Linked DNA regions of Callithrix jacchus. The protein of the gene in region 1 purifies or fractionates together with the protein of each later gene. This does not show direct contact. Links are inferred from orthologs where the notes say so. Each region holds a gene or a part of one and is shown on either strand. Other genes may lie near its edges.

Region 1 (3,580 bases):
TCAGTCTTCCAAGTTCTTGCGTCTCATACATCTTGTTTCTGTAGCCCGCAAATTAATCATTATTCATGTTGCATATTACATGCTTGTTTAGATTTACTCACGTTTACCAATTTGCTCACCATTTTTCCATCTAATTTCTTCCTTTTCGGTTCCATGTGCTTGTTACTGAAGTACATTCTTTAAAAATTATTTCAGCTGCCGCACTCAGTGGCTCACGCCTGTAATCCAGCACTTTGGGAGGCGGAGACGGATGGATCACGAGGTCAGGAGATCAAAACTATCCTGGGCAACGTGGTGAAACCCCGTCTCTACTAAAAATACAAAATTAGCTGGGTGTGGTGTCACGTACCTGTAGTCCTAGCTACTCAGGAGGCTGAGGCAGGAGAAATCGCTTGAACCCGGGAAGTGGAGGTTGCAGTGAGCTGAGATTGCGCCAGTGCACTCCAGCCTGGGCGACAGAACGACTCAGTCCCACCCCCCAAAAATAATTTCAGCAACAGTCTTTCGTGTAAGCTCTTTGTCACCACCTATCTTTACTTCTTAACTCTTAAATCATGGATCAACACCTCGTTGACAGCATTTTTCCTGTCAACGAGGTGTAAAGCGTTACATTTTACTGTAGCCTTCTACGTTTGCTGCTGAGAAGTTTGTTATTGGTGTAATTTTTAAAATCCATCATCCTTGGTCGCTTTTAAAATCGCATAGTCTTTGGAGTTCTGCAGATTCACTAGCGTCCAGATGTTCATCTCCGGTGTTTGCATTCCACCCGATTTTAAGAATCACTTCTGGCAGCTCTCCTTCAGGAACTGCCTCTGCAGGGAGCTCTGCCCCGGCCTGTGAGATCTCCCGGCATTGCCATCCGTGGCTTTTTCCTTTTTATTCTCCATCACCTGTCTCTCTGGTGAGCTGCTTCCGATCAGCCTCCAGGTCCGCGCACTCTTTTCTGCTGTCCTACACCTCATCCTCCGAGACCTGAATTTCCATGGCTCTACTTGTCAATTCTAGAATTCCTTTGCAAACCTGGGCCTTCTTTTGTGATGTCTTGCTTGATCCTGTGCCTCCTGCACCTTCTCCCGTCTCTCGTCCTGAGCCCCTAGAAGGCGCCGGCTGTTTCCCACGGTGCCCAGAATCGCGCCAGGCCTGGCACAGACTCGGTGAGGGCGCGGGGAGCGGTGCCGCGGGGCTGCAGCCTGGCCCGCCCATTCCCTCAGCCCTTGGCAGCCCCGCCGCCCTCCAGGCCTCACCTGAGTTCCGCGCCGGGAGAGACTCCTGGGCCGGCCATGACGTCACAGGACTGTGACGCGCCCAGGAGCCCCGCCCCTCGCGTCCCGAGCCGGGGACCCAGGGGCTCTGCGCCGTGACGTCATGAGCCCGGGCGGGCAGGTTGTGCGTCGGCCCAATGGGAGCAGTGCGCCGGCCTCCCCTTTAAGGAATGTTGTGACCTGACGTCACCGGGCGAGTTACCTCCCGCAGCCGCCGCCGCCGCGCTCAGCGCGAGCCCCGGAGCCCTTCAGCGTGAGGCACGGAGCCCCCGGAGCCCCCAAACCGCAGCCACATCCCCACGTCCCAGAGCCCCGGCCTGCGCGCCCAACCGGGCCCGCGCGATGCCCTCAGACCGGCCTTTCAAGCAGCGGCGGAGCTTCGGTGAGGCCCCGCGGGCAAGCTGTGAGCTCGGAGCAGGGGTACGCGGGGGCCCGGCCGACCCCGACTACCGCGGGTGACGTCAGTCCTGTGACGTCAGGCCCCAGCCGGACCCTCGGGATGGGAGGCTGACTCCAGCCTGGGCGGAGGCCGCCCACCTCCCCACCATGATAGGTGCTAGGGGCTGTGGGGCCTGCCGGCCCCGGGGGCGGGGGCTGGAGCTGGGGCGGGGCCGGGGGCCGCCCCTTGGGGACAGGCGGGGCGGAGACACGGGGAGGACCTGGGCCCGGCTCAGCCCGGCCTCAAGGTCCGGCCGCCATCCGCAGCCGACCGCTGTAAGGAGGTACAGCAGATCCGCGACCAGCACCCCAGCAAGATCCCGGTGAGTCCGGTGCCCCCAGCCCTGCCCCGCCCTGGCCGCGCCTCGCGCGCCCCCGACACGAACCCCTGCCCGCCTGCCCCGCTCCCAGGTGATCATCGAGCGCTACAAGGGTGAGAAGCAGCTGCCCGTCCTGGACAAGACCAAGTTCCTGGTCCCGGACCATGTCAACATGAGCGAGTTGGTCAAGATCATCCGGTGCGTGGGCAGCCGCCGCCAGGAGGCAGCTTGGGTCTGGCGGGGAGCCGGGTTCCCGCCGAGAGGAGGTGGGAGTGGGGTCAGTAGTGATGGGACCAGGCGGTGGGCCCCTGTTCTGGCGCGGCTGGAAAGGTCAAGGTCGGGGCTGCAGTTGGAGTCGGGTCAGAGGTGAGAGCTGGGGTGAGGATGGATGTGAAAGGCTGGGAATCATTCTGGGGGTCAGGGCTGTGCCTGCCCTGCAGCCACGTCCCTCACAGCCGCACACCCTCCCGCCTGCCTCAGGCGCCGCCTGCAGCTGAACCCCACTCAGGCCTTCTTCCTGCTGGTGAGCCAGCACAGCATGGTGAGCGTGTCCACGCCCATCGCGGACATCTACGAGCAGGAGAAAGACGAGGACGGCTTCCTCTACATGGTCTACGCCTCCCAGGAAACCTTCGGCTTCTGAGCCAGCAGTAGGGGGGTCGGCCTGGGAGTGGGGGGAAGCCCGGTCAGGCCCTGCCCAGAGAACCCCTGGTTCCTGAACTGAGCTGCCTCTGCTTGGGGGTGGGCTGGGCAGGGATGTGGCCCCGTAGTCAGAGGGCACCAACCCACCTCCTCTGCCCCTAAGTGGTTTTGTTAGGGTTGCCCCTCTGGGTGCTGGCTGGGATGGGGGAAGGTGGGAAGCATCCCCCCACACTCCTGCTGTGTGGTTCATCTTTTTTTTTAGGCCCCTGCCTGCCCCTCACCCACCCGAGGCTCTGCCCACTACCTGGACCTGCCCACCCCTGAAAGACTGGCCCCCCCACCCCTCCATCTCCACATGGTGTATGGATCTGTGGTCATTGTCCCTCTGCAGAATAAAGATTGCTCAGGCCTGCCTGGCCCTATGCCTCCAGCTGCTTGCTTGGGAGTGGGGAGGGTGCTGGTGGGGCTGTCCGAACCGTCCCTGGGCTCTGACATACCAGAAACACACACCTGTGTGTACTTTCCAGAACATTAGGGGCCACCCCCAGGAGTGCAATGCAGATATGGGCCCAGGGTAGGTTTCGTAACAAAAAACATTTATTAAGTAGCCACAACCTAACAAGCCCTGCTCACCTGCCTTTTCCAGAGCTCCCAGTTCCTCCCCAGAGGTCTTGCAGTCAGCCATGGGTCCCTTTTGATACCAGAGACTTGTGACCCTGGACTTGAACCTCTTCTGCCCAAGGACTCGCCTGCTGGCAACTCTGGCTGGAGGGCCTGGCCCAGTTTCCCGCCCCTGAGGTCCATGCAGCCCTGTGCCAGCCAGGCCTACTTGAGCACAAGCATGGCCTCCGTGCCGTCCTTGGCCGTCAAATAGAGGCCGTGTGTGAGGTAGTACTCCCGCCGCAGGAAGGCATAGAA
Region 2 (3,500 bases), on another chromosome or scaffold:
CAGAACCTTCAGCTGTGTGTGCAGGTGGCCTCTAAGTACCACGAGCAGCTGGGCACGCAGGCCCTGGTGGAGCTCTTCGAATTCTTCAAGAGTTATGAAGGTAAGCTGTGCAGCCTCTGGCTGACCCTGCGACGTGACTGTTCCTCTTTTCTCAGGTGTTGCTGTCTGCCTGCCTGACTTAAAACGGCCTTCCTGCAAAGCTGGGCAGGATGTAGCACCTGCTGCCTTGGGTGCTCAGTTGGTGGCAGAATGTACTGCTATCTCATGTGCACCACTCAGCTTCAGTAACCTTTTTGGTGTTTCCTGATGAAGAAATAGGTTGGTTGGTGATGGGGTAGAGAGACTTACAGAGCCCGGTGTGTCTATGCGGCACAGTCTGGCGAGAATTCATCTAAAAGCCTGTGACATGAGTACAGTGAAAGGGCTTGATGTCTGGTCTTCATAGCCCCAGGAGGGAGGCTCCTAGGACCGCTCCTAAGTGAGAGCCCATGAGTGCATTGCTTTGTGGTGTCTGCTACCTGTTGATTGTGGAGGCTGAGGCAACCTGGTTCTATTCCTTTGCCCTTCTTGGGCATCACAAAAGTGTGGTAGGGCAGTGGGGTGGGAGTGGCTTTGTTAGGGACAGGTTGGGGCTGTCTGGCCCTCCCAGGATAGAGACTGAGCATTTGTCTAGGCATCAAGCCACTGCCATGTGTCCAGTGAGGTTGGGGCATCAGTGGAGGGTGGGCCAGGACCCTTCCCTCAGGGAGTTGGCCTTCTCTTCAGAAGACATCACTGTAGGAAAGACCATGACAGAAGATTGGCTGGAGCTGGGCTGGGAGAGGGCAGTAAAGTAGGTTGGTGGGGAACCTCTGGCCTTGGGGCTGCCCATTCCTTTCCTAGCATCAGAGTCTCACGGTTACAGTGAAAGACCTCAACAGGGAGGGGCCTTCTTGGATGTATCCTATCCTATTGTTACTGGTGCCTCCTGGCTGGCCTCTGTAACGGTGAGGAACATCATTAGCCTCTGTGAATGCTGTCCTCTGGGGCTCACCCCAGTGGCTCAGCACGTGGGGCCCATGTCACTGTCAGCTCCGTGTCAAGTTGTGGGCTCCTGCCAGAGGCCATGGCTTATTTCTGTGTCCCTTGGCATGCCTTTTTAGAGCAGCAGTCTCACAGCCCTCTCAGATTACGTCAGTGAGAATGACTCTTGATGATGACTATCTAGGTAAACCTGGGCCACCAAAAGGAATTTCACATGTACCAAATACCTAGTATTTTACATCAAAACATGCAGGTGTACCTGCCAAATATGATGGAAATCTCACTGACTATTTTTGGGAGCTGCCAAAACAGACAAATGGCATATTGATTGTGAGTTCTGAGTGGGCTGTGGGTTCCTGAAGAGTGGAGCAGGGTCATCGATTGAAGGAGGGCAACAGCTGTGGAGGAGGCAGGTGGGAGTTACAAGGACAAAAATGGAATGGTCTCTCTTCATAGGCCTCTTCTACTTCCTGGGCTCAATCGTGAACTTCAGCCAAGACCCAGACGTGCATCTGAAATACATTCAGGCTGCCTGTAAGACAGGGCAGATCAAGGAGGTGGAGAGGATATGCCGGGAGAGCAGTTGCTACAACCCAGAGCATGTGAAGAACTTCCTGAAGGTGTGTTTCAGCACCACCTCCTTCCATGAGCTGCCCTCGCTGATGGCAGGTGGGGCAGACCATCCACAGATGTCCCAGGAGGTGGGAAGCTGGATCTGTCTCGCCAGGGCCCCCTTAGTCCCCAGAGACAGAGCTCCACTTTATGGCTTAAAGTTCTAGAGGAATCCATCTATCATTTTAAGAACTTGTAGAAGGAAGCTAGAGGCTGTGCTCTAAGTATCTGGCACCTAAGTGGAGGGAGTTAGTACATTCCTGCATTGCAGTTCATCAACATCCCATTGGTGCCTTGTAAATTAGGCAAAGCTGCAGGAACTAGTAGACCACTCAGCACTAGTGGCATAAAGAACAGGAAACCTACTTCCTTATGTGGCAGTCCTGGGTGGCTTGGAGGTGAGTGGGATGGCTTTCCTTCCCAGTGTCCTTCAAGGACCAGGCTCGTAGCTGCTTTGCTGTGTTCAGCACCTCACCCGAATGTCATCTTCCCAGCCAGCTAGAAGGGAAGAGCACAGAGGAACCAGCACAGGTAGTTTGTATGGGCAAAGCCTGCAAGTGGCAGATGACACTTGGATTCACGTTCCCCTGGGGGAAACACTTAAAACTTCAAGAGGGAACATAGGAAATATGATCTAGGCATGGGACCACACAAGGGGAGACATGATTGTGGTGACCTGTGGCTGTCGTACCCAAGTGCCATCATCATCTGGGAGCAGTGCCCAGGTGTGTTTCCATGGCCTGCAGCTGCGTGTCTGAAAAGGCAGCCCTTACCGCAGGTGTGCTGTTCTTGAGAATGGCCTGGTTTCTATTGGGTTTGCACATAATGAGCTGCTTGTCTTAAATCAAAAGATGCTTTCGTCCAGACTGGGAATGTTAATGCCAAATTTAGCACTCTTTAACCAAATACTATTATCTTCCTCTCACTTATTTCCCAAAGCAGACACCACACCACAAAACAGCAGCCTATCTAGAGCAGTCTCATGCCGAGTCTCCTGTGTGTCCCTCTGCTGCAGAGACAGTGCCGTCCCATGTGGGCAATGAGCCCAGGGTCTGGCTGGCTGGTTTCTTCTCCCTGACTTGTTCTGTGCATTCTAACCCTCAGGAGGCCAAGCTCACAGACCAGCTTCCCCTCATCATCGTGTGTGATCGTTTTGGCTTTGTCCATGACCTTGTCCTGTATTTATACCGCAACAACCTGCAGAGGTACATTGAGATCTACGTGCAGAAGGTACTGCTGGCTCCCTGGAGTGACACCCGGCTGCCCCTGGGCCCCAGTCAGTGGCAATAGTCTTCACCTCAGAGGCTGCCTCTAACACCTGAGCATTTTGGAGACTATCATTTTGAAGGGTGATCGGTTAGTGTGTTCAGACTGCCAGAGTAGAAGACCATAGTCCAGGCGGCTGACACAACACACATTTATTTCTCACAGTTCTGAAGGCTGGAAGTCCATGATCAAGGTGCTGGCAGGGCTGGTTTCTGGTGAAGGCTATCTTCCAGCCTTGCAGATGCCTCCTGGCTGTGCCCTCACAGGGCCTTTCCTCTGTGCATGTGCACGTGCACTCCCAGTGTCTCTTCCTCTTCTTAAAGGACACCAGTACCACTGCATTGGGGCCCCACCCTTGACACTGATTACCTCCTCTCTCCAAATATGATCCCACTGGGGGTTAGGACATCAGTGAGTGAATTTTGGTAGGACAAAGCCCAGTCCTAAACAGGAGCCCTCTCAGGATTTTGCCCACACTGTCCAAGTTGTAGGGGGCTTCCAACAATAACTTGTGTCTGCAACACTGAAGTTACTTGACCTTGACTACCCTAGGTCAATCCTAGCCGGACCCCAGCTGTGGTTGGAGGGCTCCTTGATGT
Region 3 (3,500 bases), about 89 Mb from region 1:
CTACCTGCTGATATCACGGAAGATGAATTCAGAAGACTATTTGTTAAATATGGAGAACCTGGAAAAGATTTAATCAACAAAGGCAAAGGATTCGGATTTATTAAGCCTGAATCCAGAGCTTTGGCTGAAATTGCCAAAGCTGAGCTCGATGATACGCCCATGAGAGGTAGACAGCTTCGAGTTCGCTTTGCCACACATGCTGCTGCCCTTTTTGTTCATAATCTTTCACCTTACGTTTCCAGTGAACTGTTGGAAGAAGCCTTCAGCCAGTTTGGTCCTATTGAAAGGGCTGTTGTAATAGTGGATGATCGTGGAAGATCTACAGGGAAAGGCATTGTTGAATTTGCTTCTAAACCAGCAGCAAGAAAGGCATTTGAACGATGCAGTGAAGATGTTTTCTTGCTGACAACAACTCCTCGTCCAGTCATCGTGGAACCACTTGAACAGCTAGCTGATGAAGATGGTCTTCCTGAAAAACTTGCGCAGAAGAATCCGATGTATCAAAAGGAGAAACTCCTCGTTTTGCCCAGCATGGCACATTTGAGTACGAATATTCTCAGCGATGGAAGTCGTTGGATGAAATGGAAAAACAGCAAAGAGAACAAATGAAAAAAATATGAAGGATGCAAAAGACAAATTGGAAAGTGAAATGGAAGATGCCTATCATGAACATAGGCAAATCTTTTGCACCAAGATCTGATGAGACAACAGGAAGAATTAAGACGCATGGAAGAACTTCATAATCAAGAAATGCAGAAACGTAAAGAAATGCAATTGAGGCAAGAGGAGGAACTACATAGAAGAGAGGAAGAGATGATGATTCGTCAGCGTGAGATGAAAGAACAAATGAGGCGCCAAAGAGAGGAAAGTTATAGCCGAATGGGCTACATGGATCCAAGAGAAAGAGACATGAGAATGGGTGGCGGAGGAGCAATGAACATGGGAGATCCCTATGGTTCAGGAGGCCAGAAATTTCCACCTCTAGGTGGTGGTGGTGGCATAGGTTATGAAGCTAATCCTGGAGTTCCACCAGCAACCATGAGTGGTTCCATGATAGGAAGTGACATGCGTACTGAGCACTTTGGGCAAGGAGGTGCGGGGCCTGTGGGTGGACAGGGTCCTAGAGGAATGGGGCCTGGAACTCCAGCAGGATATGGTAGAGGGAGAGAAGAGTACGAAGGCCCAAACAGAAAAACCCCGATTTTAGATGTGATATCTAGGCTTTCATTCCAGTTTGTTTTGTCTTTTGTTTAGATACCAATCTTTTAAATTCTGACATTTTAGTAAGAAAGCTATCTTTTTATGGATGTTAGTAGTTTATTGACCTAATATTTGTAAATGGTCTGTTTGGGCAGGTAAAATTATGTAATGCAGTTGTTTGAAACAGGATAATTTTTTTTCTTACTTCCTTATTTTTTCTTTTTTTACTGTATAATGTCCTTCAAGTTATGGCAGTGTACCTTGTGCCACTGAATTTCCAAAGTGTACCAATTTTTCTTTTTTTACTGTGCTTCAAATAAATAGAAAAATAGTTATTAAAAAAAAAAAAATACATGGGGGTGATAAAACAGGATAGTGGTTGCTCCTAAGTGTGGGGAGAGGGAAGAGATGCATACCGGAAGTGTGAGTCTTCCAATTCAGAGTTCTTCATATTGTTTATGTTATTGTTTTTCAAAAGTTCGTAAAAATAAAGGTCTATCTGTTTGATTCTATTCTGCTAGTATGTAATATCTTGAAATATTTTAGTTGTTTTTATCAGAACTCAAAGTAACTATGTTCTCTAGAAGACAAAATTTGTTCTTAAAGCATTTATAGTGTCCAAATAAATTCTCAGGTAAAGAAAGAGTTTGTGCATAATTTTGTCTACATACTTTCCATAGTATCTTTAAACAATTTCTTTTATCTCTTTTTTTGCAGATTGTAGATGTCTTTATGGAATACAATCTAATTCAGCAATGTACCGCATTCTTGCTTGATGCACTGAAGAATAATCGCCCATCTGAAGGTCCTTTACAGACGCGGTTACTTGAGATGAACCTTATGCATGCGCCTCAAGTATGTGTTCTAATGTTTTTTAGGCATGTTTCCAATATTGCTTTAATAATTGTGCAGAGCATCTCAGATTGTTATTCAAAGCTACTGAGATGCCTACTCCTTATACAAGAAAATTTAGCTATTATATATTCTTTTGTACTTTCTTTTATCAGTTCACTATTAAACCTTAATATGTAATATGGATATTGAATTACTCATATAAATGGGATGGACAATAAACTTACCTTATTTGTGGTTTTACAGGTTGCAGATGCTATTCTAGGCAATCAGATGTTCACGCATTATGACCGGGCTCATATCGCTCAGCTGTGTGAAAAGGCTGGCTTACTGCAGCGTGCATTAGAACACTTCACTGATTTATATGATATAAAACGTGCAGTGGTTCACACCCATCTTCTTAACCCTGAGGTATTTTAGTTTCTTACCTAATAGATGGTGTTAGTTGTGATTAATAGGCACACTGAAAATGTGTTTGTAGTACTAAATATTAATAATTTCATACCTCCATGAGTTTCAACATTGTTTCATTTATTCATTCATTCATTTATTTTGTCTTGTAGTGGTTAGTGAATTACTTTGGTTCCTTATCAGTAGAAGACTCTCTAGAATGTCTCAGAGCCATGCTGTCTGCCAATATTCGTCAGAATCTGCAGATCTGTGTTCAGGTGGCTTCTAAATATCATGAACAACTGTCAACTCAGTCTCTGATTGAACTTTTTGAATCTTTCAAGAGTTTTGAAGGTAATTAGGAGTTTTTGAGTTTGTAAAAAGTACTTAAGATAGCCAAGAAGAGGTATGCTTATGATCAGGCTATTGGAAATTTTGTCTTTCTAAAAATTTGGTTCTATGGGACATTTTAATTTTTTAAGTTTTGTTATTCAGTAAATGTTGCCAGGCGTGGTGTCTCATGCCTGTAATCCCAGCACTTTGGGAGGCCGAGGTAGGCAGATCACAAGGTCAGGAGATCGAGACCATCCTGGCCAACATGGTGAAACCCCATCTCTACTAAAAATATAAAAATTAGCTGGGCGTGGTGGTACGTGCCTATAATCCCAGCTACTCTGGAGGCTGAGGCAGGAGAGTTGCTTGAACCTGGGAGTCGGAGGTTGCAGTGAGCCAAGATTGCGCCACTGCATTCCAGCCTAGCGACGGAGTGAGACTCTGTTTCAGGGAAAAATAATAATAATAATAATAATGTCATCAAGGCCCTTTTATATTGGATCCTAAGGATATGCAGTGAACAAGACCATCTGTTTGGATATTTTATAGATGAATTAAAGGTAGAATTTTAAGAGAAAAATATGTAGTGATGTTTAAATTGTAAAAAGTGAAAATACAGGTTGAGTGTCCCTAATCTGAAAATCCAAAATGCATCAAAGTTCAAAACTTTTTGAGTTCAAAGGAAATGCTTGTTGGAGCATTTCAGAAATTGGATTTTCAGATTA

The links.
Region 2: the proteins of MAP1LC3A (region 1) and CLTCL1 purify together in Homo sapiens (affinity purification with mass spectrometry; 3 studies listed by BioGRID and IntAct, with this or other methods). This does not show direct contact. The link is inferred for Callithrix jacchus from reciprocal best matches to the Homo sapiens genes MAP1LC3A and CLTCL1.
Region 3: the proteins of MAP1LC3A (region 1) and CLTC purify together in Homo sapiens (affinity purification with mass spectrometry; 3 studies listed by BioGRID and IntAct, with this or other methods). This does not show direct contact. The link is inferred for Callithrix jacchus from reciprocal best matches to the Homo sapiens genes MAP1LC3A and CLTC.

Annotation. Positions count from the first base shown.
Region 1 is NC_133506.1:4,744,815-4,748,394, reverse strand, and holds MAP1LC3A (microtubule-associated protein 1 light chain 3 alpha), read left to right. Parts: upstream 1-1,457; 5' UTR 1,458-1,604; coding exon 1,605-1,644; intron 1,645-1,739; exon of another isoform or gene 1,740-1,808; coding exon of another isoform or gene 1,809-1,815; intron 1,816-1,967; coding exon 1,968-2,023; intron 2,024-2,111; coding exon 2,112-2,218; intron 2,219-2,500; coding exon 2,501-2,663; 3' UTR 2,664-3,080; downstream 3,081-3,580. Other genes in the region: GPI-anchor transamidase component PIGU, read right to left, coding at 3,488-3,580. UniProt on the Homo sapiens protein: Ubiquitin-like modifier involved in formation of autophagosomal vacuoles (autophagosomes). While LC3s are involved in elongation of the phagophore membrane, the GABARAP/GATE-16 subfamily is essential for a later stage in autophagosome maturation.
Region 2 is NC_133502.1:210,867,860-210,871,359, reverse strand, and holds part of CLTCL1 (clathrin heavy chain 2), read left to right. Parts: coding exon 1-100; intron 101-1,479; coding exon 1,480-1,643; intron 1,644-2,739; coding exon 2,740-2,865; intron 2,866-3,453; coding exon 3,454-3,500. UniProt on the Homo sapiens protein: Clathrin is the major protein of the polyhedral coat of coated pits and vesicles. Two different adapter protein complexes link the clathrin lattice either to the plasma membrane or to the trans-Golgi network.
Region 3 is NC_133506.1:94,241,249-94,244,748, forward strand, and holds part of CLTC (clathrin heavy chain 1), read left to right. Parts: exon of another isoform or gene 1-1,548; intron 1,549-1,917; coding exon 1,918-2,055; intron 2,056-2,298; coding exon 2,299-2,463; intron 2,464-2,615; coding exon 2,616-2,796; intron 2,797-3,500. UniProt on the Homo sapiens protein: Clathrin is the major protein of the polyhedral coat of coated pits and vesicles. Two different adapter protein complexes link the clathrin lattice either to the plasma membrane or to the trans-Golgi network.